Linked DNA regions of Xenopus tropicalis. The protein of the gene in region 2 purifies or fractionates together with the protein of the main gene of each other region. This does not show direct contact. Links are inferred from orthologs where the notes say so. Each region holds a gene or a part of one and is shown on either strand. Other genes may lie near its edges. The genes, in order: iqgap1 and myl6.

What was found.
Region 1: the proteins of myl6 (region 2) and iqgap1 purify together in Homo sapiens (affinity purification with mass spectrometry; 4 studies listed by BioGRID and IntAct, counting the BioPlex papers as one, with this or other methods). This does not show direct contact. The link is inferred for Xenopus tropicalis from reciprocal best matches to the Homo sapiens genes MYL6 and IQGAP1.

What each region holds. Positions count from the first base shown.
Region 1 is NC_030679.2:106,840,496-106,856,999, forward strand, and holds the end of iqgap1 (ras GTPase-activating-like protein IQGAP1), read right to left. Parts: intron 12,968-16,504; coding exon 12,735-12,967; intron 11,357-12,734; coding exon 11,224-11,356; intron 10,587-11,223; coding exon 10,484-10,586; intron 10,267-10,483; coding exon 10,131-10,266; intron 9,685-10,130; coding exon 9,597-9,684; intron 9,361-9,596; coding exon 9,148-9,360; intron 7,580-9,147; coding exon 7,413-7,579; intron 7,048-7,412; coding exon 6,925-7,047; intron 5,682-6,924; coding exon 5,573-5,681; intron 4,024-5,572; coding exon 3,910-4,023; 3' UTR 2,084-3,909; downstream 1-2,083. UniProt on the Homo sapiens protein: Plays a crucial role in regulating the dynamics and assembly of the actin cytoskeleton.
Region 2 is NC_030678.2:137,520,376-137,537,543, forward strand, and holds myl6 (myosin light polypeptide 6), read right to left. Parts: upstream 8,869-17,168; 5' UTR 8,860-8,868; coding exon 8,857-8,859; intron 8,459-8,856; coding exon 8,431-8,458; intron 6,162-8,430; coding exon 6,018-6,161; intron 5,492-6,017; coding exon 5,318-5,491; intron 4,949-5,317; coding exon 4,871-4,948; intron 4,667-4,870; coding exon of another isoform or gene 4,638-4,666; exon of another isoform or gene 4,625-4,637; intron 2,828-4,624; coding exon 2,799-2,827; 3' UTR 2,418-2,798; downstream 1-2,417. UniProt on the Homo sapiens protein: Regulatory light chain of myosin. Does not bind calcium.

The DNA.
Region 1 (16,504 bases), on a different chromosome or scaffold from region 2:
GACATATAGTGTAAATAAGAAAGTGTTAGGGGAATTTGAACTGAAGAAGCCACTCGTATGAGTGGTGAAACGTTTTCAAGAAAAACTCAGAAAAGTCCAGTTGTTTTAGACTTAATTCTACTAGATACCAATATAATGAATTTTATAACAACGGCTCCACCTGCTGGTCATGGTAGCATGCAGGGTTACCATAGATGACAAATCTCCGCCGAATGCCTTCCAGGAATAAAGTGAATCATCGGTGGGAAACCATATGCATCGCTTCATTTTCCAAGGTGGTTTAAAGTTTCCTGCACAAGGCTACATAAAACCATTGTGCACATATGTTATTATTGATCTCCTTGGTGAGTTTTAATATCTTTATATTTTGTAATAGGAAGCACATTATAGACAGTGACCTCTTACCTTTTATATCTGCTATTGGCTGCTTAGTATGTAATTCTGTATGTCCTGTGTATAAACCTTATTGTACTGTGCTTTGGAATATGTTGGCGCTTTATAAATATCTGTTAATAATGTTAATATTAATCTATATAGTCTCAGCCACTACTAAATCCCATTATCCAGAAAGTTCAGAATTACAGGAAGGCCATCTCCCATAGACTCCATTATAAGCAAATCATTCTAATTTTTAAAAATGGTTTCCTTTTTCTCTAAATAATAAAACAGTACCTTGTACTTGGTCCCAACTTAGATATAATTAATTCATATTGGAGGCAAAACAATCCTATTGGGTTTTTTATGTTTAAATTATTTTTTAGTAGACAAAGTATGGAGATCCAAATTACAGAAAGATCCCTTAGCATTCTGGATAACAGGTCCCATACCTATGTAAGGAGACGGTATTTTTTTTAAGAAAGATAACATATCTATATGACATTAACGCATGGCAATCCAATTTATGGAAAGATCCCTTATCCAGAACACCCCAGGCCCCAAGCAGTTTGGATAAAAGGCCCCATACCTGTACTAAAATAGATACATTTTAGAAGGGCAGCTTTAGTTGTTACTCCGTGGTCGGACAGGCTTCCAGAGTATTACAGCATTTGCTGGTTGCCCACAGCCAAGGACAATTCCCCTAACACTTTCTTATTTACACTATATGTCTGTATCCTGCCAGTTACCATCTTGGATTTTGTTAGGAGTGTCAGTGGGCTCTGGGCAGCTGTTGAGAGGCTAAGCTTAGGGATGATCGCAAATCAAGCAGAAAATTAGGTTTGATGTCATAGAAGCTGATGCTACAGGGCTGATTATTAAATTCTGATGCAAATTTCACTGGTTTTTCAGCTGCTGTGTAATGGGAGTCTGAATTAATTAATAATCCACCTTGTATTTTGAATTTTATATTCTTTATATGCAGTATATGTTAGTCCCTAAGCTCAGGTAAGTGACAGCATACATACCTTGCAGTAGCAGCCATTTACCCATAGTTCCAAGAATATCTATGACAGAAAGGTCTTAAGGTACCCATACACGTGAATATCCGCTCGCTTGATGACCCGCCCTACAGGTGGACGATATCGGGGAACATGTAGACTAATTAATAATATAATAGATAATTATAATGGCGGCAGTGGGGCAGTCGGTTTGGGGAACGCATCAACGAGCCGATGCGGTCCCCAATCTGACTAAATCTTTTAACCTGCCCGATCGATATCTGACCAATTTCAGGCCAGATATCGGTCGGCCAGGCTCCTCGTTCCTGCCCCTACACGGGCTGATAGGCTGCCGAAATGGTCCAAGGGACTGATATCGGCAGCTACAACCGCCCTGTGTATGGCCACCTTTAACCAAAATAATTGACTTAAGGTGGCCATACAAAGTAATATCTGATCATTTGACCAAGGAGCCAACGTGATTCTTGTCTGATATAATTTATGTTTAGATATGAGTTGGGCAAGTCATCGGAAGTAAACCATACATGAGCATGGAAAAATGATGAAACATGGATTTTCACTTTCGTGTCTGATACAGAAATCCCCAACATTTCCTATTTTATTTTTTTTTAGACTTTGGTTGCCCTGTTATGATCTATTTTCTGACCCAACACTTACCCATAATGAATATAGATTTCACACACAAATACAAATGATATTTTTATTTTGTTGAACAGAAGTAAAGATGCAGGCCCACGTACAAACAAGGGACCTTATCCATATTCTAGAAAACTGTAAAAAGACAAATATAACCTCAAGAAACTTTTTACTTATGGTCACTAATAAATTAAAAAAAAAGTCTTAGATGGGAAGATCCCACATTTCTAATGAATTTTAATTCAGAGAATGGGTTTATTTAGTGAATTTAACTTATATATTGCATGGGTTGTGGCATTTTAATAATCTAGGATTCATAAGATAATTTCCCTATAAATTATGTTTTTAATTCTTATATTACAAATAAATGTATAATTCTTTTTAAGGAATGTGAAATATATTTCTATTAGCACATATTGGCCTGTCTACCTATGAGAAATACATATTGCTGGATCATAGCTCATTAACACAAGCATACAAGGGAAGACAGCAGTGCATACTCTGAGTTCAGGCTCTCAGTACTACATTATATCACTCTGACCTTACTTTTATATATATATATAAATATAAATTTGTTAGCAATGTGCTAGTCACTTTTAATGCTGGACTCTGCCAAGCTATTGTATTTCTTCAAAATAAATGTTAAGAAACCTATTTCTATAAAAGGCTTGTGTCATTCTTAGAAAACTGGAACTTAATTTACAATATATTTCCTGAACGTTTAAAAGCTAATATAATTCAAGCAGTGCGCAAGCATGGCCCTAGAGACTACCTACTAGTACACAATATCAGCATTGGGTATCAGGTTCCCTCGGCTATAGCTCAGTTAGCAGAATGAACACATATTCTTTCCTATGTCTGCATGTATAAAAGGAACTAACATCAATATATTTTCTCTTTGATTCTAAATACTTATCCAGCTTAGGTTTCCTGGACAAATTGTGTTTTTGCATTATCCTGAGAACGTGAAAAAAGAAAAAAAAATAAGCATAATTTTGGGTGGCATTAACCACCGCTATTCCAAAATTAAAAACATTTCCTTTAAAAATATGTTTCCACATAAAACAATGGCTAATACATCTTTAGGCAGCTATCCTACCTACTGTATATTAGTCTGGCAATGTTGCAAGCTAATTTAAATTATTCTGATTAAAAGGCATATCTAATATAAAGCAGGGCTAATTAAAATAGTTAAACTGGGCACAGTTAAGATTGATTCCAGCTGCTTTTACTGTGGCAGCCAATCATTTCCTTCCATTGCAGGACATGTGCATAATGTTAAACAGTAACCCCCACTAAAACTGATGTCAAGAAGGCTGTAATGCACATTACAACAGCTGTATAGCATTCAATTAAAATCAAGCAGGGAAGACTACATTGTGGCTGATTTTGACTAATGAAATATAATAGTGATTGAGGACAAGGCTAAATTCTTTATTCTTTTTTTAACTTGTGCTCAGACTATTCAGCTTTTTGGTCCATCAATAAAATCAATAATAGCAATAATAATGAACAGGTGATCGGAGGGGGGGAAAAAGTACAAAATACCGAAACAAAACATATATAGTGTATTAGTGCATTTACTCTTGTTGCTAACCAGCATTCTAGATAAAATTTGTTCTTGACATCTAAACTAGATTCCCTAAGCTAGATACATTTAGCTATGTAACACTATATTTGGAAGCACCAGAGCCTTTCTAGTTTCTTACAGCAGGCCTCAGGATGACTTCTTTACACAGATGGATGCTTGCAGAGAATGGGCACACAGGCTCGTGCAGGTATAAAGGCAGTTTGTGTTGGCTGAAGCCACAGTTTGACAAGAAGGCATACATATGATGTTTATCCCAAACTATTCCCTATCTTCTCCAATGACTTCTTATTTCCCATAGAATTTCTTGTTGATGAGGAAGATGAGCAGGTTAACATTGACCTTTGCGCGATCGAACAGCTTCATGACAGCAACACCTTCATACTGTAGTTGGAGAAGATCCTGTCCAAAAAACAGTGACCGTGAACATTTTCTTACATTTCTAAGCCCTGCCTTCACCAGATATAAAATATATTTACAGAGAAAACGGATGTTAAATATAAATACAATTTTTAAAAGTAATTGCCAAACTTATGGGCCCTTTAACTTCTTAAGGCATTGCCTTTATTTCTGTGTTCTGCAATTCAGTCAGGGAGGTGAAGGAAATATAAGTAATGATTGGTAAAGCTAAAAAAGCCTGTGGGTCACCAGTGCATCCTTCAACAGTGGCCCCACTGATACATAAGGAAGTGACCTCTTTAGGCAAGGTTCACATAGGTAATGGGGAGGAATGCTTTACTTATATCTCGGTTAATAACATACTAGAACAATCTTTGTAGGTGGTATTAGAAAAGTGGTGCTTTAGAGGTAGTAGACAAATTGGGTCATAATTGCAGGTTGTGGGAATTTACTAAAGCAGGAAAATACTGGGCCAGGGTATATACAATGATTACAATTGTAAGGAAAGCCCTAGAGGTGGTACTACTGAACATAGAAGGGAACAACTAAGATATTTGCTATTGCATGGATGTCTGCTCTACTGGATATACAACTTGTTCAATCAAGGCTTGCCATCTGGAAAAGGGGGCATTCAATAGCATTGCAAAAGGACAAAACAATGACCTTTAGACATTTTAGGGTTAAGGGATCCAGTTTAAGGCAAGATGAAGTCAGGAAGGATTTTTTTCCCCTCTTCGGCAAATTAGAGAGGCTTCATATGGGGTTTTTTGCCTTCCTATGGATCAACTAGAAGTTAGGCAGGTTATATATAGGCATTATGGTTGAACGTGATGGACGTATGTCTTTTTTTAACCCAACTTACTATGTTACTATGATCTTTAACTTTGCCTGCCACAGTCCCATTTCAACCTTGCCTATCCACTCTTTGGCCTAACTACAGTGATGTATTAAGTTGAATGGATAGGTGACCTACTATTTTTATTATCAATTCTATGGGGGAGAGAGGGGTTGGCCTCTACGTAAAGGAGAAGGAAAGTTAAAAATCAGTGGGGGATGTCAAATGTTAGGAGAAAGCCACAGCAGCCTGGAGTAGCCTCTTCCTTCTTCGAACCAGTTACGCAGTAGAAAGAAAAGCCACACTTTAACAACAACAAAAAAAAGCAGCAAAAGCAGCTTTTTCACTCTACTGCACATGTGCCGGCCCTGGGATCCAGATGATAGAAGAGAGAAGAAGGAGGATCGCTGGCTCGCAGCTACTCTGGGCTGGTGTGGTTGTGGTGTGGAGCACCAGCCAGGGGTAAAAAGGTAAGCAATTAAAATCACTGGGAAGGGGGGGATGGGAGGCTGCTTCAATATTTAGCCATAACTTTGTAACAATGCAAAATTTTAAAAAGCTATAAATTGCCTAGACTTTATATTTTCAATAGTATAGAAACATTTTTCATGATTGTTCCCCTTTAAGGATGTAGATTTTAAAGATCCCTGGTGTAATGTGGGAGTTTATTTGTTTGTGATTTTTGTGTTTCAGTATGGATAGTTGTCAAAATCATACCTGGTAATGCAGCATGAATGTTTCCATCTGAACGCCCATGAACTTGGCTTTCACCTCAAAGTCACCAACTTCATCTGTGGGAGCGATTTCAAAAATCACGTTCTTGAATCTGCACAGGAAGAAGAATAAGGAACCAAATGACATATAGATGGCGAATGTGATGATGTCTGTCACAGAATGATGTATGGGTGTGCCCCAATGGCAGTTTATGAATAAATGATGCCAAACTGAAGGTTAACAAACTAGTATTTAGTACATTTTAAAAGTAGAAAACTTAGAGAAAATGTATATACATTTTCTCTAAGTTTTCTACTTTTAAAATAACTATCCACATATTTACCCCAACTTTTTCCACATGCTCCTTTCTGCTCACGTTACTTAATATGAAACAGGGGAGGGAAAGATTAAGTAGTTAAATCTGGATTATACTAATTCATTTCTAACTGAGCTAAAAGCTTTATGTTTATTTTAATACCATCTAATGCAGTATACATCTCTAATACAGATTTAAAAAAAAAATGATGCAATCTTTGAAAATGGCAACAGAACTAGGAACCTGCTGTGATGCAATACCCAGAGGGAAGGCAATATGGCTAGAAGTGGAAGATGGGTGTTGCTCAAGGCAAGGGAATATAAATTATGTAATTAAATGAAGACTGGATTTGAGAAGCTGCATTTTAAAGAGAGATGCTACTACAGAGAGCAAGACTGTAAGTAAACAAGTCATGTAAACTGTTACAGGGACTTGGAGGAATTTGTGATGCAATGATAAACCTCTGTAATAAAGAAACGTAATTGAAAAATGTTTATACGTTTAAAAGTTTGTGTCAAATTCAGCAGCAGCTGTATAAGAGGAGGATAACAAATCAAGCAGGTGCATGTTATGGTATGGCACATCTTCACCACTGGGCATACTCAGGTTTTTGAATCTAGATGCAGCCCTATTATACCAACAAGGTAAAGCTTGTTTCAAGGCTCAGATTTCCTTACATACATTATAAAAATATTCTCCACTCTCCAAATTTGCTAAAATAAGCATCTAAGTAATATTCTTTAACAGAAACTTGTTTGTTTCTAATTGCAAGCATTGCACTGCATACAAATAGCTACAGTGGTGCTTTGTGGTACTGAATCTATACATATTTGTACTCAGAACCCACAAAATGCAGTGTGTATCCTTGTTGTCCTCATGCAAACCAGGGAATGTAGCAGCCAAGTAATGAGTGATCTTCCCCTTTGGGGCAACCAGTTCTTGGCAAATATATTCTTACAACACTGTTTACATTGTAAATGTCTTATTCTATAGTACAACAATTTTTTCTATTGCCACTGTCAGAGTCAACAGAACTTACTGATTTGCTTGAAGGTCCTCAATTTCTAGCAGTACCCCTTTCTCATGCAGCCGTGCCGCAGAGTATTTCAGTGATATCTTTTTACTCTTCTTCCCTTTAGCTTGGCCTGGTTTCTTAGACAACCTGGTGTAACGGTAAAAGATGCAAAAGTCATCTGAAAACATAGAACAGCAGCAAAACTATGTATCCAAATTTAAAAGCATAATAGCTATTCTTCCATAAAAGTGAGTCTGATGTAAACCTAATAATGTAGATTCATAGAAAAATTGCTTTTAACAAACCATGTTAAAAGCCAGAGAAGGCAACCTCCTCCATCCATGCTGTCTGGTTTCTAATTCATTTTATTTTTCTAATTTTTATCTTATTGTGCTATGAAAAAATAACAAAAAGCTTAACGAAGAAATGTTTTTCTATATGGACATGTGTTTGCTGACATTTAGCCATACTGTATTAACAAGCTTAAGCAGCATTTGCTCTCAAACACTTACTTGCGGTTGCTTGCCAAGTTGTCCATACAGGTTTTGATATAACTCTTGTAATAATCCACTTGTTCCTCATAAAATAAAGCCTTAGAGTTCAACGCTGTGTGTGTCTGCTGCAGCTTCACAAGCTCTGCCTTTCGTCGCTGGCGGTATCGCCTTTGATTACGGATATCCTATATTGCAGAAACAAGAATTAGACAGAAATGCCTACTGAAGACTATACTTAGGGTTTTGTTTACTTATACAATGTAAAATATATAAGTTTCAAACATTTGTCTTTACATCTGTATTTGATTTAAATAATCCTTATTGGATGCAAAACAATTCTATTGGATTTAATTAATGTTTTATTGATTTTTTAGTAGACGTAAGGTATGCAGATCCAAATTACAGAAAGACCCCTTATCCGGAATACACTTGGTCCCAAGCATTCTGGATAACAGGTCCTATACCTGTACTGTCCAATTTGGTCATCATCATAGGGAGAGCTGTGGCAACTCTCACTTTGATATTTGCAGATGCCTGATGCGCATGAGCAGATATAATCTCACTGTAGACACACCAGAATCTGTAGGGATTGCAGGCCAGTTAGGGATATGTGAATAAATAGTTGGTAAGGGTCAAGTGAGCCATATTTACTCCCCAACTAAATCTGTGCATGGTTGAAACAGTGTTCAGTTGTTGCAGTTATGTTGCAATATGAACAACGACACTTATTTCTAGAAACATATAAAGTTTATTTAAAGGAGAAGGAAAGTCTAAAAACAACATGAGCTCAATAACTTAGCCTTAACACAGTCCTTAACATATTTCCTGAACTCACCGTGCTGTTGCTTCATCTGGCTCTGACATGGAAAAGTCTTGTCAGTAAATACAGTACCTGCTCTAAGCCTGTGCAGCTTCCTGTCTCACTGAACACAGATTGTCCAGGACACAGACATGCTCAGTGCACAGCAGAGAGCTCCGTTTTTTTTTTTTTTCCTCACAAGCAGGGGGGAGGGCGGGCTGCTGCTGCCAGGGAGATTGTTTATGGAGGGGGAATTTGTGGAGCTGCAGAAACTTTCTAACAGGAGCAGGGAGCCGGCTTGTACTTTTCAGCCCATTCAGACATGCTGGATAAGATGGCGGCGCCGTTCACTGAAACAAGCATGTAAGTTCTAGCATGTGTATCTTTGTAAATCTTTCATTAGGCAAGCCAGGAATATAGCGATTTTACACAGCAGTAGTAGTACTTTTTAATAGTGTGCTTAATAGATTTTGCCTTTCCTTCTCCTTTAATAAACCTTGGTTATTTTAGTTATTCCAATGGTAGAGAAATGCTGAGCTCCCTTATTAGGCAGCCCTATGCCACATAATCCAAAGACCATTGCAGCAACAGCTTGCCTTCTCATTTCCCTCAGTATAGCCCACCTCCTTCACTTTCATTGATTAATGCACTACCACTGTGCTGCTTCAGGGGGCACAATTTCTGATGATTTAGCATCAGCAAAGGCAAAAAAAATATTTTTTTACTGACGGTAAAGCTGCTATTGATACCATGGTTCTTATAATAATAGTCATTAAGAACTAGTTACATTAGCTCAGCAACCAATGCTACAACTAGCAATGGATTTAGCCATTTACTTGAATTTAAGGAGAACCACTTATGAAATACTACCATTTGTAAATCCTCTTTATTTTCTGTCCAGCCAATACAACCATACCATTCCATGCTATCTAATATATACTCATGTCAATTTACCTTGGCAATGTCATTGATGAGATCCTGGTACCGATTATCTGGATTAACCAAACCCATTTCTTCAAGCTTTTTTAAACCGGCTTTTATCTTATCCTTCTTTTCCTGAAGGGTTAGGTTGCTGTCTTGCCTTAGGCTCTTAGCGGTTTTCATCTTATCTGGGGTTTTTGCATCTCTCATAGCTCTCCTCTGCATGGCTCGCAGATGATCTGACTCCTGAATTAGGACAACAACACAAGTTGTAGAGCACTTGCTGGCAGATGCTTCCACATTTGACAATAGAACAGATGCTGATTACATTTCAAAACTGCATTTTCTCACATACAAAGTACAAAATTAACCTGGTAACTTACACTTGTCAAACACCTACAATTATTATATTTAATGTATACAAAAGGTGCACAAATATCCATCTCTGACTACATAGCCGCACTTGGCTTTTTTTTTTTTACCTGTTCATTGGTTGCTCGAGTTTCTAAGATTTCTGCCAAGGTTTCTCCAGGCTGGAACCGAATAACATCCACAATGAGGCGTTTTGTGCTATATTAGGAAGAAAAAAAACTGTTTTGTTTGTGTTGATAAAAGAGGACTTTGAGATATCACTGAGAATACTTTATATTTTTTCCTAACTTTGATGGCATGCAGGGCATATCCTCTGACAGCTTATTTTAGCCAGCAAAGAAGCATACAAAACATCCACTGCTAATTCTTATTTACTTGAATGGGTAACACACCACAGCGCAGTTACTGGCATTTTTCATGGTTGAAAAAGCTCTACTGAGCATTTTTAAGCTGATAAGAGACAGCATCAGGGCTGTCATGCAGTTTCTATTAGAGTAAACAAAAGTTCACCATGGGTGTTTTGGGCACTTTACCACTAGCTAAAATGCACTTGTGGAGAATGTTCCCTATGTGCCATAGCCCTAGCACTTATAAAAAGAAAAGAGTCAACAGGAATAAACGGCAAACTGCGATTTGGCTCTTACTTCAGCATGATGGTTTTTGCATCCTTTTCTGCATTTTCATCACCAAGAATTTCAAACTTGTTAGTTAGTGTAAGTGACACCTCTGTTTTTGCCAACGAATCCATGTTGGTGTCCCCTGCAGAGCCTGGTCCTTCCCCTAAATGAAACAAAATAGCGAGTTACCCTTAATCTACAGAGCTGTGCCAGGTGAGATTGAGAAGTCCCACCCATGGTAGTTCTTACAATAAGAATTCTTACAGTAAGTGCATTCATTCCGCATCTTTTTTCCTTTACAAGTGTTCACATGGCCAAGTTTAAATCAAGAGACCTATGCCAAATGCTTATAATTTGTCTATGGTATAACTGTAGCTTACCAATAAGAGACTCAATGGTTGGAACCTCTCCCAGGTCATCCAGAAGTTCATGGATTGGATCGTTATGCTCTGGTGCTACAGCGTCCTGATGGTCAAGAAGCAACTGAAATAATAGTTCCAAAATTAGTTATTCCATTTGCTGAGGTTCAGCTTGCTACCCTACAAAGCACTGAAGTTAATAAATATGTGAGCTGTTATAGATAATAGTATACCTTTGCTTACTGGCACAGTGCATGTTTCTTAACATTAAATAAACAACTTGTAAGTAAAATGTTATTAAAAACTTTGTATAGAGAAATCCCCAGGATTTATACATGAAAAGGACTTGCTACAGGGGACTGAAATGTGAGCGAGTATAGTAGTATTCTGGGTACATTATCATACTGGGTCCCATATTATCAAACAAGCTTTAACAAAAGTACATGGAACCAAACCCTGCTGGTATATCAAGACCATGAACGTTTCTGATACTGTACACTTGTACATTGTGGTTTCTCAACTAATTATTATTTCTACACTCGTCTTTGGCCAGTGCCAATTTCTCCACTGGTGATACTTATATTGTAAAACAGGTCTACAGTATCAGTAACTTCTACTTCTATACAATTATACTTCTGTGGAAGTTGACATGGGGATGTGCGCCAGGTTGAAGTTTGTTATGGCGTGCTGACTTTGGGAATCTTTTGTATAATATCAGAAAACAAAATGAGGGTCCAGCTGAAAGCCAGCAGACTACTTACAGTGTGGGTGTTAACAATTTCTCCAATGGAAATATAAATAACTGGCTTTGTTACAGTCACCAGATCTGAATATTCATCCACATTAAACTTGTCTTCGAGCTCAGGAACTTCACAAGCTGACTGGAAAAAGCGCCTGCAGAGAAGAACACAGATATAATCATGTATGAGGTTAAGCAGATACCAATATTTTTAGGGATATTTAATTGCATACAAGGGAAATACGATACCCAAATTAAAAGGCACATTTATATCATATGTCCCCTCCACCAATTGAGCCACACTATGCACACTCCCCAATACAATGCCCTAGGCCGGGACCTGTTAATAAAATACAAGAGTAGCGCAGTGGGGTTGGCAGCCACTATCCCTTTTTGCTTGATGTCTTCTTTCCAGGTCTTTGACAGCCAGGAATGTACATAGTTGAAGCCGATCTAGTTCTAACTTTAAAAAGGCCCTGACACCCTAAGAAATAACTCCAAATTATTTTCTATTGTGTTTTTCAAGCAAAATAAACTTACACTATATAAATAATATTAATCTCGTCTTGGAATTGCATAGTCACAGCAAGCAGGTAGGTGCCATTTTGTGGACATTATTATTATTATTATGGCAGGCTTTGTATCACCTGTGAAAGTAATCTAGGATTATATATATTAGTATGTAAGCATATAGTTGCTGACATACTAGTTGCTTTTACAAGAACAAGAAATCTATACTATAACAAAATGCCTTCAAGGGTTCAAACAATCAATCCATAAACTGTGTTTTTCTTGTTTCCTTTTATTTTGTTGTCATTTTTAATAAAGACATACAAAATGTATTGGTTTAAAAGGGAAGTCACTGTAATGTCCCTTTAGGGTTACAAAAAATAACCAGAAATGCTCCTCAAGTTCACAGCTACAGATATTAAACCCAACCCAATGCCTAGGTGGAGGCAACATCTTTGCTATGCCCCTATGCAAACTCTACCCTAGCTCTCCAACGGAGCCCTGTACAAAATAAGCCTTATGGCTCTCATAAAATAGGACATTTTAGCTCTGTGGAATTTCAAAAAAGACTTTTATTGGTTATCTGTCTTGAGAATAACAAAGTGCCACGTGCTCAGTGCCAGTTTTTTTTACTGCTGTATCTATTAGTTACTGTACATTGCCGGCAAAGAGGGATCACCTATTTACAGTGCCATTGATTATTAATGACCATAGTATATGACTAATAAGCTATATAATATTTTAGATATTTACAGTACATGTAGAAATAATACAAATGTAAAATCTTAAAACAGCGTTAACCAGTAGTGAACTAAAATTACATTTAATAGTGCAAATAGGGGCCTTCACAAATTGAGGACCACAAAGCCACAACTGGCCCCCTGAATTAAAAAAGTTGTAGCACTGCTTTAAACCAACGGCCCAAGACCTGGTTAGAATTCCTTATTTCGCGAGGCTGTCAGCCAGTGAAAGTAATAATGTGTGTTTTCTCATTTAACCAATTAAATAAATTACTGCACAGACCTGAACTTCTGGTATGACTGTGAAAGGTATTCATTGATGGCACTTAGATGAGCATTGTCTCCAAGAAACATCTTGTTGGATGCAGCATGCTGAAGCATCTTTGCAATAGAACCCAGGTTCCTTCGCTGATCTGTGGTGAGCTGTCCTCCAGCAGAGAGGTCAATGATGTCAAAGGCATCTGGTGCCACAATGGCTGGGTTCATGTAGCGGTAATATAGCAGATTTCCCACAATCTGAAAGAACAAAAGCACTAGTTAGAGAAAAAAAAAAACCAGCAGTAAACATATAGTCAGTCACCCAGATCCTGTGGGAGTTATGGGTGCTTTTCAGCCAGCATTATTGGACTCCACAGCTCCTGCAGTGACTCTGTGTAAGTGACAATATAATTTTCACTATAATATCCAATATCATTTTTATAAAGAAGGACAATAGTTTCAAACTCACAGACCAAGTTTGCCCTGTCAAATGATGGTTCTTTCCTGAGGAAAGACATAGAAATGGCTATACAGTGCACCAGTGCCTAACAGAAAGAGGGATAAAGGGCAGTTGAAAACCCTGAGGTAATATGTTGTCTGACTTTGCATACTTACAGTAAGCTCTAAATGGCAGAGCCCTCTTTACCTTCAGTATCAAGACAGTGTTTGATGTGTACACCCTTCTATTGCATAGTACTGCAGAATATGTTGAATCATGTTAGTAATAAAAAGATGAGGGTTAGGGAAGGGCAGGCAGTTAAAAGTAAGTGTTCAGTATGCATGCTACAGAAGCTTAGTGATGGCTTAGGAAGAAGAAATACGGGACGATTAAAAAGTCATTGTGAATAATCTGCGCAGCAAAAACTCGCGAGCGTTTAGTTGTGGCGACTTCTATTATATCTTATGGAAGAAATGTTGATGCAATGGACTTAGTTAAAAGTCGCAGCAACTAATCGCTCCATGTGTCTTCACTCTTACTGTACATGGGACAGAAAAGTGTGACACCTTAGCATGTAGGGGCTGCATATAGCTGATGCACAGCTGCAAGTACACACTTTATTATTATTATTATTAACATTTATTTATAAAGCGCCAACATATTCCGCAGCGCTGTACAATAAGTGGGTTTCATACATTGGACATACAGAGGAACATAAAGCAATCAATAAACGATACAAGAGGTGAAGAGGGCCCTGCCCAAAAGAGCTTACACACACTTGTGAAATTTCACCTTTGGTATTTGTTTAACAGATAGAGAAGAATGTATTATTATAGTAATTATGCTTTACCCCTAACTTTAGAATGTGTAACTGTTCAGCTCATAGATTTATCCTAGGCTGGCCCTATCTCTAACTGGCTATCTACATCCTTCCTCATCATCTACAATAAGCTTCCTATTGTGCACTACATTTCCAACAAGAAACTGAAAGAGGGCAGGCAAGGAGTGTGGCCTGATATTGTAGGCATGGACAGAAACTTGTGTAAGGTTTTTTTACATAGCCTGGAATGCAATATAAGATAACATTACACTGGCATTGGTAAGAACAAATGGGCTGGAAATTTTGAGAACAAAGGGCAAGGTCACATGGAGCATAGATGCGCTTTTCCGTCAGGCACACAAAGTGTAAATCCACTTCTCAGCCCAGCTTTTTTCTGTCAGACTTTTCCCTGTGCTAATCCATGTGCCTGCACTGAAAGCTGCAGTATCTGCCCAAGTGCAGGCACACACACTGGGGCAGATAGGAGGTCACCCTGAAAAAGGCAGTGAAGCAGATCTGCTTCTGTCAGCCTGACGGGAAATAGCTGGGTTGAGAGAAGCTCCATGTGCCCATACCACAAAAGTCTATTTCCCTAAAGGGGGATTTGTCTTAAATGGGAGATGGAAGGGGGTAGGATGCACAAACAAGTGAATTAGAGAGGACAAAATTGTGCAAAAAAAATAGTGAACAGGCCAAAGTAGCAATGAGGTTAAAAAGAAAAGCTGAAAGGAGAAGCCAAAATACACCTTGGGGGGACGTTAATATGTGTTGTTTATATGAAAGACGGGGAGTTAGTGTAGAACAGAAAGACATGGTATTAAAAAAAAGTGACCAGAACAGAGGACTAAAGGGGGCACAATGCTGGCAAGAAAAGTGGGTCATGAAGAACTTAGGAAAAGCTGTAAAGGAAGACAGAGGTGCGTATGAGAAATAGAAAGGAAAAAAGTAGGAGGGTGGGAGGGATAAAATGTATTCTCTGCAACAATGGGCATAGGGCACATACCAGCCATTACTGAAACCCATTGTGCTCATTTGCATGTGCTTGATAGTATATTTATGTACAATCCCTAATTTCCCTGTGGCACAAACTGTAAATAAAATAATGAATAATGTATCCCCTATTGTAAAATATAAGTATAAATTAACCCATAAGCAAAAGGCATGCAAATTACAGTGGAGGGTACAATCTACTATATAATACACAACAGCCATAAATATCCTGTAAATGATATGGTTATAGCAGTGCTTAGTGATGTCATCAGTTATAATCGGTGCTTAGTGATGTCACTGTCACATGACTCACTGAAATTTGTTTATTATTACAAAAAATAATGTAACCCTTGTTGTGAAATGAGGATATTAGAAATGTCTTCACAGTTCCATGAAGTGTATAAAAGCCTTCAGCCTCAGGCCTTTTATGGTCATGGAACTGCTTAGTGACTTATAGGGGCCGATATATTAAAATGTAAGATTAGAGCTCACCACAGAGAAAAACCACACACTTTCTATTCATTCTTATGGGATTTTTGGACCATATTTAACAATGGGTGAAAGTATATAAATACACAGTATCTAGTAGAATTAAGTCTAAAACAACTGGACTTTTCTGAGTTTTTCTTGAAAACGTTTCACCACTCATCCGAGTGGCTTCTTCAGTTCAAATGACTGGTAGGGAATTCCCCGGTATTTAAACTCTTGATGGTAGTAGAGTCACAGACATCCAATCACAATGGTTCCATTGAACTTGTTCAGTTAGGTGTTAGCTGAAACTGACAGGTGTAAGAAGGTATGATCCAATCACAATGGTACCAAGATTCTCATTGATGAAGGTGTTAATCCTTCAAAGTACATGACTGGAAGTGTGAACTGTTGTGAAACTGCCGGGGTAAGGATGTCAACGCGCCATTGTATGTTGGTGACAAGCGGTGTCTCAGGCCCCCTCCTCTGTTCCGGGGAATTCCCTACCAGTCATTTGAACTGAAGAAGCCACTCGGATGAGTGGTGAAACGTTTTCAAGAAAAAACTCAGAAAAGTCCAGTTGTTTTAGACTTAATTCTACTAGATACTGTATATCATGACCTGGATGAATGAGAATCTTCATAGACATATATAAATACACTTTTAAAAATCCCATAGGAATGAATAAAAGCAGGTACATTTTTCAGCCCTATAATATCCACTCAGTTTATATGCCTACAAAGTATATAGAGCTTGCCATCAGTCTAGCTCCACCTGAAAAAAATTCCCCTCTACATAAAAGAATAATCTGCAGAATCAGTTTATCATTGATGTCAGGGGGAAGAAGCAGTAAACAAGTTAGTATACAAAAGGGACACAGTCATCAAAAAAACTATTTGTATTTGCCTGAAAACAATATACACGGTTCATTGGATGGGAGCAATGTTAACATATGATTTAACTGCAATCACTAAAAAAGTGTTGTTAATACACCAATCAGCCAATAGAGAAAAGAGAAAATCACCTGCAGAACTAGAGCATAACCGATGTCTCAGTGCAGAGAAGAAAGAGCTAGAAG
Region 2 (17,168 bases):
CATGTAAAGCACTGAAACTTTTAAATACATTTATATTGGAAAGTTGCTTAGAATTATGTTTTCTTTTATTAGGCAAAAACTTATTTTTGGGGTTGACATGTCCTTTAACTATTAGTTGTTGCAGAAGGAAGTTTTACTGCATTAATTTTAATTTGGAAGGGAAATACCAACTGACCTTGTGGCCTTATACAGTCTATTTTTGTAATGCCATTTTAGGCAGGTTTAGAGAGCTGGCAGCCAGTCAGGAGGATAGGATACATAGCTAAATTACACACCTTAATTATAACCTGCTGTGTTTTCTTCCACGGGTGAATGGGGCACAGATATTGTTTGCTTATATCATTCTATAGGTGCAGTCCTGTGTAAGAAACTTTTCTAAAAGTTTTCGGACTCCAAAATGGCAGTTGTGAATCGGCACTGTATATATGTATATTATATATATACATACACATATATACATGACTAAATATGACCTATAGTCATTTCCCCATTTCCTGCCTCCTCCTGAACATAATCATCCCCATTGTGCCAAGCTTAAATGTTTCTTCGCCTTGTCATAGCAGAAAAACTGCAGAGCAGGGTTGGCAGCTGCCATGTTTGGCCTCATTGCTTGCTTTTCCTCAGTTACGTGGTGGTGATTAATGATCAGCAATATTCACACTGAACCAGGGCCACAGGCTCTTGTAGCTAAAACTAGGACTGGAACTGCTGGAGCCAGCACCAGTGTGTAGCTCTTCATCCATAATGAGGTCAGTTCATTTGGCACAACATGGATACCCTTATTTTTTCAAAATCTTGTGATTTAGAAGCCATTATATAGTGTATGGTTACCTTCTACAGTTATACAAAGTGACCGTGCCCCCCCCCTCTAGTGTAAACAAACCCCAACTTGTCCAGCCTTTACTCATGACCAAGCATTTCCCTTGTTTATGTAGTGGGTTTTTTTTCTGGTGTCCCCTGTGTGCCATTACCCTTGGTCAATGTTTTTTGGCCTCTCTATTTCAGTAATGCTTCTTCTTAATTTATAAAGCAAAAATATCAATCTATTTAATATCAGATAAGTAGCCCAAGAGAGATAATTGACCATGGATCATATATAGCTGGCAGTGGTGGAACCAGGATACAATTTAAGCCGGCCATACATGCACAAATGTTATGGGTTTTGTACGATATTCGGCGATATCAGTCTCGTCGATCAGGCAGGTTACAAGATTTTGATCACTGAAAGGGTTAAATCCTGTAATCTCTGTTCGTAACACCTGTAGCACGAACTGTTAGGGTTAAATCTCTGTAACTCTGTGCACCTGTAGCACTGTCCCTATAAGCAGTCACGGACCGGTCCGATTTAATCTCTGTGTGATGGCAAGATATCTGATATGTCTCTTCAGGCGAGCTGATCAGGGTACTTGTACAAACGATACAACCAGTATGTGTATTGCAAACAAGTACAAATTTATTTTGTTTTGATATTACTTTTATAGTAGATAGGTAAACACATCCCATTATGCTTACGTAGCATGGGTGGGCACATATGCCTTACAGTTATTAGCAAATAACAGAAATTCATTAAAATGGCTACTGAAGCTTATTATGGTTTCTTAGCCTTGAAAATAAGCTGAGATACCCAAGGCCAGAGCAACTTGGACACAGACAAGATAATGAGGATAATCATAACAATTGAAGTAACACATACACAGGCCTTCATGATTGAAAACAAAATTGTGTAAATTCAACATTAAGCAATTTAGCCCCTATCACAGCATTTAGTAATTTAATCCCTATCAATCACGCTCTGTTGAAGGCGCCAGAGCAAAATCTACATTTGGGGCTGAATTGGCAGGTGGAGGTAGGACTTCTATTGTTTCTACCTCCATATCAGATGATTCAGCCCTGAATGTCAATGGAGGGTGGAAATCTTTCCTGCGATCTTTTCCTAGTTTTATATGTAATTTTATGTACACTGAAAAAATGGTGCGTTCCCATCAAAAACAAATCTATAGTTTTGATACATTAGCTGCTGTGTAGCTATGAGGGCGGCAATTCAAGCTGATTAGAGCAAAAAAAAAAAAAACGAAAAAAAAAAACCACATTACACAGCTCTGTAGAATGCAGTGGGTTTTACACAGGAAGATAAATTGGTCAAATGCTCTTGACACTTGTAAAAAGATTACAAACCTTATTTGTGGACTATTAATGTATTTTACTATTTTCTCCTTTGATAACACTCAGCAGAACAAAGAAATGACTGCTGCTGTCTTGTATAGGTATAACAGAAACCATCATTAAAATAGTATGCAGAATGTATGTTCAGCAAGAGCCCTGTAAAATTAATTCTTTCCCTTTCTCCTGATGCATCTACCCCTCAGAATGATTTTAAGATGTAACTTGTGCAGAGAAATGAAACAAATCACAAGATGTCTTGGAAAAAGTCACTCAGTTTATTTGATGTTGGATAGGGGAAAAAATAGAAATTTGAAATAATTTATCTTTCTCTGCACACTACAGCATTAAGGAAGCATGGGGGGGGGGGGTGATATGAAAAATTATTTTGCCACAATTTCTACCGATGTTCATTTAAGCTGTAGCTGTGGGCCTCCCTTGTGATGTTACAGAAAAAATGAATACGAATTTTGCCACTTGCGAGAAGAAGGGGGTGACTGATGGGATAAGGAGGAAGCAGAAAAGGCACTTACTATATAGCCTGTCTTCCTCTCTAGTGAAGGGCTTGAATAAATTGCTAACTAACTTCCCCCCCACACTTCATCCCCACTGGGCAGAGGTAAACTAAAGGAGAAGCTTCAGCCGTTCAATATCGCCCGGATAAGTTCTGTAAATAGAAATATAAAAATATGTTAGAGAGAAGGCATAGCAGGTAGAAGGTGGGCTGTGCACCCAGCTGTTTGGCACAATCTATGTAGAAGTGTTTGGGCCAGGGAGCTGCTGCACTACCAACTTTGCAGAAGTCCAGTAACAATGAGGGGGAATAGGGGATGCTGCATAAATGGTAGTGGCTCCACTGGCATCTCTCTAACGTTTAGGTGATTTCTTAAAAGGAAAAATCAACCAAATATCAGATTGAGAGGGAACCCTGATAATCTGTTACCAGCTGGAGCGATTTCCAAACCCTCTTAGGCTTACAGTCATTCATCCCCTCACTCACCCCATATTGTGAAGTGAAAGACTCTGATCTGAAGGCTCTCTGCTTTCCAAAGAATCTGTGCATCACGCACTATGGAAAACAAGGGACTTAAGTCCAAGAATCCATCACTTCAACCCCTCCCTGACCTTGTCCTTTTGTGGATGACTGTGAGCCAAAGGAGGGTTGCAGAAATGGTTCCTACGAGACAGACTATCATGGGTTCCTTACAATCTGTGGAATTAGGTATGTCTGTTTTAAAACTATTTCTGGAAGTTTAGATAATGTTTATGCACCATTTTATTTAACCCATATGAATGAACAAAATAACATCAAAAAGGGGTGTTTGTGTATTCAAAAAAAATGCAGTTAAAATCCAGACATGGTAGGGATGTTTAGCCCACTCATTTTCAAAGAATTAAGCCACAGAAATCACCAAGTCCTGTCAAACAGCAAGTCACAGTACACAACCCACTGGTGAAAGGAGGGGGCTCCTGTGTGCATTGCAAAGTCCAGTCTGTTTCTTCCAGCAAAGAACCCAGATGGTACTGCATGGAAAGAACAAACCCACTCACAGGAGCACCAACCCCCATAGCTTACGAATGGTATGCTCCAACATCTATCAAGTTTGTCTCTATGATCAGCAGAACAGAAAGTCAATTATGGCACCATATAAAGACTGAAGTATGAAAGTTTCGTCCAAAAGCATGAAAGGCCAGAAGAGGTCTCTAATATCTACAGCACTGCTAATGTCTGGAGGCAAGAGAAGCAAAGGGGTTCTATGTTGGAGCAGAAGGAAGTTACTGTACATGCAAACCTCAGATCTACTCCCAATCTGTACAAGCAGCAGGGAACCTTGTACCATTTTCCCAATAACGAATGTATTCCTTTGGGTTACCTCAGATAAGGAACTGTGCACTAATATAGCAGGACTACCCCCTTTCCCCATCATTATCTTGCCTGGTCACAATGAGCTTAGGCAAATAATATATATTCTACAGTATTTTTAGTTTGTAACTTTGGTAAACATTGATTTATCTGCTAAGATTTCCTTCCGAAACAAACATACAGGATTTTACAGTGCTATTTAGCTGTGGCTTTAATTTCAATGCCAGCATTCCATCAGCAGTAGCTAAAGGGCCACAGTTCCCCTAAATATTGTTTATTTGCAATGTCACCTACCAGTGACCAAGAGAAGGTTGCTAGCTGTTCTAAACAATATGGATCTGAGTGTTACCATAATGCACAGAAGACACACATACACTATTTTATAAATCACACAAACACTGCCAGTTCAGTGACAGTAGCTGGCTACCAGCAGAGGACGCTTTTAAGCCAAGGATAAGCTGCAATAATAAATATAATGTGTTAGCAGCAGTCTGTTAAATGCTATCCAGACACAGCAAGGAACATGCAGATAGGCCAGGGGCAACCAGAAGAGAAAAACTGGGCAGAATATACTGAAACTAGTAGTAGGAACCAGCATACCCACTGAGTGAAGTCACGAAGATAAGATGTTCCTGACAAACACTGTGGGAACGAAAATCATCAGAGACAAGATATCATATACCATCGTGCACATGTGGGCCCACCACCCAAAGTACAGTTACATTCCCAGTAACACTACTCTCCCAGAACATTCCTAATCGGCTGCCCAGCATGAGTCCTCAGAAACAATATTATTCAACATTAGATAAAAACACTTCCATAGCAAGATGCCTGTACAGTGCTCACCTTCATAATTAATGCAACCATTAGCATCCTCATGATTACTTAAAAGGGTCTCTACTTCATCATCTGTCATCTTCTCTCCTGTGGAACAGAAACATTAAGGGTTACGTAACAACTTCCATAACAAGCGTAAGGTATGTTCTCCAGCAGCTGAAAATGATCGGACACATTATAGTAGTCGGTAATTTGCATTAATGGATCAAATATGGTTCAGGTGCTGTCCTGCTAGTTAAAAAAAAAAATCATCATCACGTGCGCCATAAGCCTAGGTGCCATACAATTTCTTCTGGTGTGATGCCATTCAACATCCCACTGACAAATAAAAAATCTAATTTATCTTAGGCCTTGCGAGTATCAGTCAGTTGTTCTGCCCATTGTTCTGATCAATGGTAGTGGATAGTCAGCAGGCTAGCTAACACACACATAGCTTGCAAGGGATTGTGTTATTACCGAGGGAAACCAGGACATGACGCAACTCGGAGCCCATAACTGTGCCATTTCCCTCCTTGTCGAAGACTCTTAGCCCTTCTATGATGTCCTCCAATCCAGGTACATCCCTGTTCTTGGCAACTGTTTGCATCATGGGGAGGAATTGCTCGAAGTCAAGTGTCTTGATGTTCATGTCTGCAGGAATAAGAGACAGAACAAACTAGCACCAGCCATACAGGTAAAGCCCCCTAGATAGAAGGTTACATAGCCAATAGGCTAGACATTGTTGCTGTTTCAGGTACTTTACTAGCAGTTGTGTGGCACAGTATGATGGTGCTTTATGTTTTGCCTGCAACACAACCAGCAAGAATGGCTGCAAAATATTCTCCTTCATAAACAATGGGAAACGCCTGTATGTATGATGCAATGTTGCAATTACTGGTTCCACCGTGTTTGCATGTAATAACCCTCATCATATATCTACAAGTGATTCTTAGTTTAATGAGAATATTTAACTACTAAGAGAGCCTTTTAAAGGAAAAAAAAAAAGTGTAAATATAGGCAATGACATGAGACACTGGCCTCTAAAAAAAAAAAAAAAAAAAAAATATTTTGAAACTGCCCAGCATACAGAAATATGGAGCGGAGCACACAATACTCCCTGACAATACCCAGGGCACACATTTACTCAAGGCTCTCATTCCTTGTCTTTTCTACCCACCTTCAGGCTTTGGGTTTCCCAAAACCTTCATCACCTCAGCATTAGTGGGGTTCTGCCCCAGTGCCCGCATGACGTCCCCACACTGGCCGAAGAGGATTTTGCCATCGCCGACACGGTCAAAAAGTTGGAAGGACTCCTTGTAGTCTGCAAAGTAAAAATGAATTGAAATAAGTTAGGGCATGAATGGCTGAGAGAAAGAAATGGCCCGATGCAAACTCACCCAGTAATACAAAGTGTGGGGGTCAGTCACTGGCAGTGACACAGTTACTGGAGCAGCTTTGCAGAATTGGATGCACAGAGAATTCATTGCATTAGCGCAGAAATATTTAGTTAACTAGCACAAGGTGACAGTGGGTCACGGAGTAACCACACGGACTCTTGGTATTTACCAAATAAAGATTTAGGCACTTTTCCTGTTCATGCCCCCACCCTTCACAGGTCCAATATTTTGTCAGGGGCCCTTTATATAATTTATCAGTGATGTTTAGTATATCTAGAGCTGCAAATATGCATTCCCACAAATTCCCATGCTAACTGACCTTCGGACTGGGCCCATGTCAACACTGCAGGATTGCGCCATAGGCAGGGGACCAATGATACAGGACACAAGCAGACAAGATTTCAGAAGCTTTGTCCAAGTAAGCAGTATAAAATCACTCTCCATTGGCCCCTGTGACAACCACCTTAACGCAAACACACACGCGTCAGCATGCAGGGTCAGCAGTGCATACTTACAAATGTAAGGGCACATATATTCCCAACAGCACAGCTTATTGTTAGCTTTCACATACTGAGCACTAACTTACTCTTTGCTCCCCTATAACATGTACTAACCAACTATATACATATAAATACTACCAGGCTTCCTGGGCTTTACTATATTCAGAAGTCTGAACATGATCAGATGGATCTCTGCTGTCCAAAAATCTGCATTGCCCTGCTTTAGATGTTGCTGGACTACAAGTCCCAGCATGCTTTAAATCTTTAAAAAATATTGACGAATGATGGGATGTTGTAATCCAGCAACATCTAGGGACCTGAAGGAACAGGACTCCCACTGCATATAACAACTTCCATTATATATATATATATATATATATATATATATATATATATATATATTTCTACATCAGTTTCCTCAAGTATTTGTTGCACAGCTATAACATCTGCACAAATGTCTTGGCTGAAGCTGTACGGCAGCCCTTAGACTAGAAATAGTAACTGCAAGCAATCAGGCGAGTGGGGGGGGGGGGGATCCCGGCAATTTCCTTCCTGTGGCACTCCCTAACCTGACCCCTCCTGCTGGATTCCTTTCAGAGGAAATCATTTCAAATGGAACGTTTCCCTCTCTGCCACACAGTAATACGCCCAGTACAACCCACAGCAGATCTGAGGCTGGGCTGCACCAACCCAGTGAGGGAAGAGACAATCCAGCCTGCAGGCATCAGCCCGGCAGGAATGCAGGGAGCTCAGCCCCATCCTCCTCACTGCCAACCCCTCCTCTGCTGACAGTTCTGCACTGACAGGCTCAGAATGAGGCTTTGTTACCATATAAGGCATCCAGAGAACAGCCTGGCAGCCATTTTCCTCTGAGGAGAGGGAGGGCGTGTGTGTCAAAGAACAATGTAGGTACAGGAGGAACATAAACACTGTCTGCGCCAACACGCCCAGAGCCCTGCAATAACCCGATACAGGAGTCTTTAGCCATAGCTCTGATGGATACAATCCAATTACATGTACATCCATTATGTCTATTACAGGGTAGTACTGGCATGTCCAGTCCACCATGGAATTAGCCTTCTGCAACAAGAGCTGGTTAGAATGTGAATTAGAACAAACCCCTCCCACACACACAGGGGGGTCCTGCACTGCTGATAAAATTAACCCCTTATTTGCCAGAGATCCTGGGTGCTTAAGCCTAAAGTAGATTAGGGAAAAGGCAACAACACATTTCATGCCAATCACAAAGTTGGGCAGATTTTGCAAAGAAACAGAACACTCTGGCTAACTTATGGCCAAACATGCATCACTGCAGAACAGGGAGGGGCAAGGCTTGTTGCTGAACTAGAGTTCCCAGTCTCACAGACAGCCAATCACTGGCACAGGAGCTTTAATGACACAATGTCTGGGAGAAGGAGGATTGTCTGTTTGGGGGGCCAAGCAGAACCCCAAGATTAGAAAAATAAAGCTGAAGGTGAGTAGGGAAGGAATGAGTGCGGGGTTAGTGTGAGGGGCACCCACTTACCGGCCGGCTGCTCTGGGTACAGTCAGGCTTGAGAGGGCAGAGAAATGAGAGAGACAGGGTGAGCATGATGGGAGGAGGGAAGCGAGGGAAAGACACTGATGAGCCTGAGCCTATGGGGAGACGGATCATCACTATCTGGCCGCGTATAGAGACCAAGCGAGCACTTACCGGCAATCTGGTCGTCGGAGTAGTCGCACTGTTCAAAGCAAGAGAAACACAAGGCATCAGACAGGCATAGCCTCCCCAACACACCCACCCACTAGGCCCAGGGCGACACGGGCGGAAAGTGATCCCCAGCAACCTTGCCGATGTCTCCCACATGTAATAGCGGCAATCTATAGGCATGGGGAATTGTGCCAGGAAAGGGCATTGCATGCCAGCGGCAAGAACATCTGCCAGGCAATGGAATCCACCGATGTTGCGCAATCTCCTCACTAGCAATGGGACAGACAACTTGCGGCCCTCCAGCCTTTATAATGCAACTTCAACCTGAGACTTTTGTCTCATCAGGTACTGAAAGGCCGCAGGTTGGACAGTCCCAGCTTTGGGGTTAGACCCCTAGGGAAAGACTATCAGCTGCCGAACACTCCTCACCATCTTGACGCGTCTTCTCCCTTCCGGAATGTGAATCGCAGCTCCCGGTTTCTTCTCTTTGTAGCCCTAACTACGTCATCTCCCCGTCACCGCCCCAAGCCCTGGCAACGTCAAACGCAAATATACGTTGTGCGCTCTCTGCTGGCCAATAAGCGGAACTGCTTGGGATGGGTTTGTACTTTTATCGCAAGTGAAATTTTCTTAATTAATAATGATTTAATCAAAATTATGTTATATCTAACATTTTAATTTTTGTATTAGGAAAAACATTATTTACACACACACACAGATAAATGCGTAAAAATGTATATATTTTACTGGTCACTTATGTAATCACTACATTATGTAATCATAATTATTTTATAATATCTAACACTTTCATTTTATTTATTAGGCAAAAACAGAAAGGTTTATTACTTAGTTACTTAGTAATAAACCTTTCTATTTTTGCATTTACATTTTCTCACAATTCTTTAAACCCTAGGAGTGCTGTCATTGTTCCAGTATATATATATTCTTACAGAGCTGGTAGGGAGCAGGCACTCAGGTATTTTTATATCAAAATGCCTGGGTGCAGTATACAAAATACAAGTGTTACAGTTGAAACAGAATACCACACTCACAGGACTTAGTGAAAAAATGTAGTTATGTTTTATTGTGAAAAACATCTATCTAACGTTTCGGCCGTATCCACAGCCTTTCTCAAAGTGAACAAAGTAATTACAAACCCACTCTTAAACCCACAATGGCGCCAAAATGTAGCGCATTTTTTCACTAAGTCCTGTGAGTGTGGTATTCTGTTTCAACTATATATATATATATAGTCTGATATTTGCATAAAAATTTATATATTGTACTGGTCATGTATAAAATCTGCTTACCAAATGGTATATATAATATATTTTATATATTTGTATATATACTATTTCCTATAAGGCCGAATACTGCGTTTTTTTTTCAAGGATTCGGTTTCGGCCGAATCCATGCTCTGCACCGAACCGAATCCGAAAGTGCCCCCAATTGCCCCATAGAGTGTACCCCCCATAGAAAGTACCCCCAATAGACCGCGCCGTGCCGTGCCCCCCATAGAAAGTACCCACAACAGACCAAGTCATCGTCGGCTGCTCCTTCTCTCTTATGCTGTGGCAACAGGCCCTTTTATAAGGTTGCGCCTGTGCATATGAAGTCACACGTCAGCGACGAGGTGCAACCTTATAGAAGGGCCTGTTGCCGCAGCATAAGAGAGAAGGAGCAGCCGACGATGACTTGGTCTGTTGGGGGTACTTTCTATGGGGGCAATTGGGGGCACAGTTTATGGGGGAAATTGGGGCACTGTGTATGGGGGCACTTTCTATTGGGGGCACTGTCTAAGGGCAATTGGGGGCACTGTGTGTGGGGAGGACTGTCTATGGGGGCACTGTGTATGGGGCAATTGGGGGCACTGTGTATGGGAGTACTGTATATGGGGCAATTTTATGGGGGGCCTGTGGCCAGCATAGCGTTAGGGGGGCCTGGCCAGCATAGTGTTAGGGGGCACTGTGGTAGGGGGGCCCTAATACTTTTTATGTCTGTGTGTCCTGTACTGATGGGAGGGGCCCTGGGGGAGGGGGGCCCAGAAAATTTTGTTGTTAGGGGCCCCGTGATTTCTGATGGCGGCCCTGCCACCATGGGCAGCCACGGACCCACAGCTGGATCTACTTTTGACAATTATGACATGCGCACCGCATTTCAAATTCAATCAATCACTTGGAGGTTTTATAATCTATACCAAACACAGTTACATTGCCAACTGCACAGATGAGACGGTTAAAGTAAATGAAGTCAGGCTTCCATTCTGCTGGTATAGCTGAACAGAGGGGTCTTATACTGGAGGTTACATGGCAACTTCTGCAGAGATGAAAACCTATAGATACAAAGCAAATGTAACCTTGTACCTTCAGCTTATACATTCCCATTGTCACTACTAGTGAAAATCCTATTCCTACCAGTGTTATTCCCTCTTTTATGCTGGGCTTCAGTGATAGGTGCTAGCTTGTAGATTAACTCAGTAAGGGGGCAGGAGATGGGCTATTTGCTAATGCTATTTGAATTATTTACTTTATGTGAAATGGCCTTGGTGCCAAATAAATACATATACGGATCTTTCCCGCCGCGCCACCATCACCATTAACTTTCATTTGCAGCAACATACAGTAGGGGGTTCCTCACGGTGAGGGCAGTGAGGTTGGGGAATGCCCTTCCTAGTGATGTGGTAATGGCAGATTCTGTTAATGCCTATAAGAGGGGCCTGGATAAGTTTTTGAACAAGCATAGTATCCAAGGCTATTGTGATACTAATATCTACAGTTAGTATTAATGTTTGTATGTATAATTTATGTATGTGAGTGTATAGGATAGGTCAGTGATATAATCTCTGCAAGTATGCATTTGATTTTTTTTACTTTCTTTTAACTTAATCAGTGCCTCAAAGGTGTTGCTGAACCTAAACATTAATGCTTTATGATCTAATTTATATTTATTTATTGATTGTTGTACTTGTATATATGTGAATTGTTACACTGGTGAATTGTTAATTGGTATTAGCGATGGTGAACATGATTATTTTTAGGTTTAAGTTAATGACATAGACTACTACTATGTGACCGTGCAATCATCACACTCCCAGTGGCACCCCCTTCCTGTTTGTATCATCACACTCCCAGGGGCACCCCCTCCTGTCTGTATCATCACACTCCCAGTGGCATCCCCTTCCTGCCTGTATCATCACACTGCCAGTGGCACCCCCCTCCTGCCTGCACCATCACACTCCCAGTGGCACCCCCTTCCTGCCTGCACCATCACACTGCCAGGGGTCCCCCTTCCTGCCTGCACCATTGCACTGCCTGTTGCACCCCCTGCCTGCACCACTCATATTCACTAAACAGCCCACAAGAATGGCTGAGGCAGAGGCGATTCTGTCTTAAATGCTGCCCGAAGCAGCTTTAGCAATGCCGCCCCCCTTAGCCCCCCATGCTTATTTTTACAGTGCCAGAGGGGTCTAGGCAGGGGCCGCATCGCTAGTACAGGGAGCGCAATTGCAGGGTGCTGCTGCCTGAAGTGAGTATCTCATCTTGCCTCATGGCAGCAGTGACCCTGGGCTGAGGTTCTCTTTAAGCTAAGCCTTAGATACCCTTTTATTGCTTGCCTGCAGGAAAATTGTAAATACTATGGTACCTGCTATCAGGGAGCTGCTGATGCTGTTAAATTTCTGTTTCTCAGGTACTCTTTGATAAATGCCTTGCATAAATATTACAGAAATATTACATTACCTCAAATGGTACAAGCAAAGCTAAATAGACTGAGGAGCACCAATTTCACCTGTGTATTAAAAATCTCACTTTTGCCCCGGGCAGGTGCTCTTGTTCCCAGGATTATTCCCATGTAAGCACCGTGCCCAGCCTGCTGCCATCTTACACTTTTTCCCAGGGATCTTTGTGCCTCAGTCAGACTTCCAGACTTGCACAATACACAATACAGCAGCTGTTTCCATCTTTATTATACTGCATATGCGCAAGTATACTACAGCACAGGGCATCCTTGGGCAAACAGGGTAAGGTGGAGGTTACAAAACAGTAGAACCAGACCCAGGAAAAAAGTTAGCACTTTAATACACTGGGAATTTACAAATTCTAAATGAATCACTGTATAGAAAATGCCTAATGCTAAGGTAGAGGGTATTCTTTTTGCTTGGAGATTGGTGCACAATTTATTACCCCATCTGCAGTCCCTATCACATCCAGGCTGGCCAAGAACTTCCCATGTTTCTCACCAACTGTGATTTTCAGGATGTAAAAAAATGTTTCTTTTGGGAGGGTTACCACTTGATTGATGGTTGGTCTGTTTAGCCAATCACTATGAGCATGTATGCATACCTTTCCAACAACTAGAAATAAAAAATGAGGACATTAACAATTACACCCTCACCCACATAAAGCCATGCATAATTATATTTGCCAATCTGCTTGAAACCCTGCCCAGTTTTGATTTTATTGGGGGAATTAGGGGGTATGTAGCTATAGAAAATAATAAATATGTGTTTTGGTGGGTTGCTATTGTGTTGTAGACAGGCAAAAAGTTATTATTTCCATGAAGTTAGCCACTAGGTGGTGGTAAAGCCATGAAACTTTAAGCTGTTTATAAGGGGTATGTTGTGACCTGGGACATGGTGGCTCTGAAAAATTATACAAGTATGTGAATGTCTGCAGTGAAGGTACAGTAGCAATTCTCATAGTATAGTTTCTATAACTCATTTTAGAAAATGAGTATTCTTTTAGCCAACATGCAGCTTTTATTAGTGGTGATCCTTAATAGATATCATGCTGACATAGGGCATAGTAGAGGCTATGACTCTAAGGACTTTAAGGACATGTAAAGTTAATTTTACTTGGGGCGGGGTGCCAAAATGTTAGGCACTAAAATTTTCCTTGGGCCCTAGCATCTCAATACCTTCATTCTATGCTTTGGCACTTGGCTATCTGTATATGGGCAATAGAGTAGATGGTGCAGGTTTACTCTGCTGAGCATGCCTGAATAGGGATTGTCGCAAAAGATGCTTGGGAAACCAGCCAGAAGTAAAATGCTGGTGTAGCGCTGATACCATTTTCTCCTAACAGAAAACTTTACCAAACCTTGTCTCCCCTAACCACACAATAAATGGAAGCCAGTATGGAGGCTCATTGGTATTCAGCTAAAGAGTAATAAATGCTATGGTATTTGGTGTGGCCAAGAATATATATCAAAAAGAAATCCTATGGAATTACACTCCCAGGCTCCATGCCAGCCCACTGCAGCAACAGCACAAGGCAGATACACAACAGCCAATGCAGAATGGATTTTGTTACATGGGGACAAACAAAGCTCAGCCAGCTGGCACTGCAGGAGGGATGAGACACAAGTGCATCAGGTTAATTAGTGATATATCTCAGTGCATACCCAATTTACTGGAAAGGTTCTGTCATAGAGGTGTATGTACAGGAAAAAGGTGGTCATTCTGGCACACTGTCCCTTCCATGGGCCTGAGCAACAGGGCATGTTGTAGGGGAGGGAAAGGGCATTTACCTTGCCCCTCTGCATAGAGGGACCCTGGGAGCAACTTGAATTGAAGTACAGATGACAAACTGTATTACTAACAGCTTATTTTGAGGCTATGCAGAAGCAATTTTAAACCTGTGGCCATTGATCCGATCTTGTAGAACAATAAAGAGCCTTTCTGCATTGCCAGTCCCCCCTTGTCAAAGTCTGACCTTGCTGTGTAAGTGAGAGTTACATTTCAAAAACAGGACAGTGGTGACAAATGTAAAAACAAAATTCCAGTAGGATGGTTTTGTCACCAATACGGATTTATGCAGCTTAGTTCCCTTGCAGTGCAAGGTACTGTCTTATCATTACAGACTAACAGGAAAAGACATTGCTGTATTTCAGGGCTTTCTGGATAAAGCATATATACAGCATATACAGGTATGGGACCTGTTATCCAGAATGCTCGCTGGGGTTTTCCGGAAAAGGGGGCATTCCTTAATTTGGATCTCCATACCTCAAGTCTGCTAAAAATCATTTCAACATTAAATAAACCTAACAGGATTGTCTTGCCTCCAATATGGATTAAAGAGATTCTGTCATGATTTTTATTGTATAGTATTTATTACTATATTGTGACTGTGAAAATAATTCACTCTACCATTTAAAATTTTATTCTTGAACCAAGAAATTTATTTTTTTAGTTGTAATATTGGTGTGTAGGTGCCATCTCAGTGCATTGTGCCTGAGTCTGAGCTTTCAGAAGGAGCCAGCGCTACACATTAGAACTGCTTTCAGATAACCTATTGTTTCTCCTACCCCCATGTAACTGGAGGAGTCCCAAGCCGGACCAGGATTTCTTACTATTGAGTGCTATTCTCATTTCTACCACTAGGTGGAAGCATTTTTAGCAATACCTTCCTATTAGTGATGTGTGGGCTGGCCCGATACCTGTGGAAACTGTGGGTTTACCTGTCGGTTGGGCAGGTTCGGGTCCAGGTATGGGTTAAGCTCTTCCGCTCACCCTCCACACCAGCGACCTTACACTGCTGGCTTCTGTATTTATAGGCGTGCCCCCGCTATACCACACCCCTTGTATGACATCATCACAGGGCGGGCGCGGGTCTATAAATATAGGGGAGAAGCCGGGTTGGATAGGATTCGGGTTGGGAGCAGGCAGGCTAGGGTAGTGTGCGGTCCCTCACATCACTACTTCCCATTGTTCTGCTGATTGGCTGCTGGGTTGGGGGGGGACAGGAGGGGGTGATATCACTCCAGCTTGCAGCGTAGCAGTAAAGTGTGACTGGTGTTTATAAAGTCATATGGCTGTGGGCACCTGGGAACGTAAGAATTTGTCTAGGAACATGTCTAGTGCATGAAAAATGCTAATGAGTACAAGCCCTTATGCTGTAAGTGCTGGACATCTTTTGTTTTTGTTCACCGATATGTGTGTTAAAGCACGACTGCTAATCCTATGTTAAAGAAAGCATGCTGAAGCTGTTTAATTTTTACTTAAAGTAGACATATTGGATAAATTTAAAAAAACCTAATCTTGTAGGCAATTAAAAATAATATATGGTATTGGTTTCAGTTTGAGCTACAAATTAATACTGTCTGTAAAAATGGCCCCTTTATTGGAGTTCCGTATAGATCCTATCAGGTCTCTGTCCTTGTTTCGAATGGAGGGTGGGCGTGTCCTAACGGCCCCTGCCAGAAGCACAGTAAGAGGGGGATAGCCAATCACAGCCCTTCAGTCACACAAGCAAAGACAGGCTTCAGTTCCCTATCAGGTCAGCCTAGCTGCTGATTGGTTCCTACAGTGCAGTGTACTGAGAGCCGCCGCCTCCCCTGCACATCCAGAGAATTCAGCCAGCAGGAAGTGGAACAGATGGGCGGGACTGGTAGGGTTTTGTGGAAATTTCTCAATAAATCAGTCTATATTTAGAGCAGTATAACGCACCTACAACTGCCCCGTAACTTTGGCCCCTGCTAAACTGAACCTTACAGTATATATAGAGAGAGAAAGACAGAGATACAGAGAGCATTACTTAAATTAAATACAAATAGTAACCTGCCTAGATTATGATCTCTGTCTACAGACAGAGTTCTTAATTATTAATAGTATTGATAATAACTAATAACAGACGGTGTCCCTTACATTGTATTTAATCTGGCATCTCGGAAGGGAAAGGATGTCATTTCAGCTTTGGTTAGCGCTGAATTAAGTCCCGCCTCCTGGAGGAACTCAATTGTCACAACCTCAGGCCCGTGAGTTCACAGACATAGGGCAGGACCCAAAGAGCAAACAGTTGGTGTCACAGGAAAGGCGTTTATTGGAGAAATGGTAAGTAGCCATCAGCAGGTTTCCATAAGCCAGTAGGTTGTAGCAGCCTGCACTCTTGTTCCTTAGGGAATAGGGGAATACACACAGTTGGAGGGAAAACTTCTTGCCGCAGCTAAGGTAGATTCCAGGGGACCACAGGGGAGGGGGGTCCTGCCGTAGCTAAGGTTACACCCCAGACAAAAAGCCCTTGGAAATGTTGGAAGCCACCTTTGTAGCCAGAAAGGGAACAGCCCCTGTCGTAAAACCAAAACCGGATTTGACTCCTTCTGCCAACCCAAAGGCAGCTTCCAGAGGGGCCAATCATAGCTAATCCCACTGTGCCTATGGGAAGCCACTTAGTGAGCATGCCCAGTTCAGTCTTTTGCATTTACTAGACAGAGCACTGCTCTCACAAGGGTTAACTATGTGTATTGTGTCACTATGGGGTCTGGCTCTGTGTGCCCTCACAATAGGGGCAATTACATTAGAAGGGCCAGACAGAGCCGGCTGGCTACACACAATACACACCTAGATGAGATTAACCTACACAATGCATTTGCTATAACAGGTAGGAGGGGGCAGGGGGTACATTTCAGCATAAACAGAAATATCTAATAGTTTCATCCAACTTCTACAGTTTGTTATGTCACATCAATGAACATTGTCAGAGGGATAGTTGAGAAAACAAGGAAACTACAAATCTGCTTTACATTCTGAGCAAAATTAAAATTGTGTGGAGCCTTCTCAAGAAATAATAGATTGTATTTTTGATAAAAAGCAATTTATATTGTCCTCGGTATATAATAAAGCTATGAACAATAAGGCATCTTCCACTAATATGACATAAATAAATGTAAGGTAAATTCTATATATAGGGTATAGGCTACTCCTTTATACTTTGTATGTCTGCATAATCCATACCTTCATTTAAATA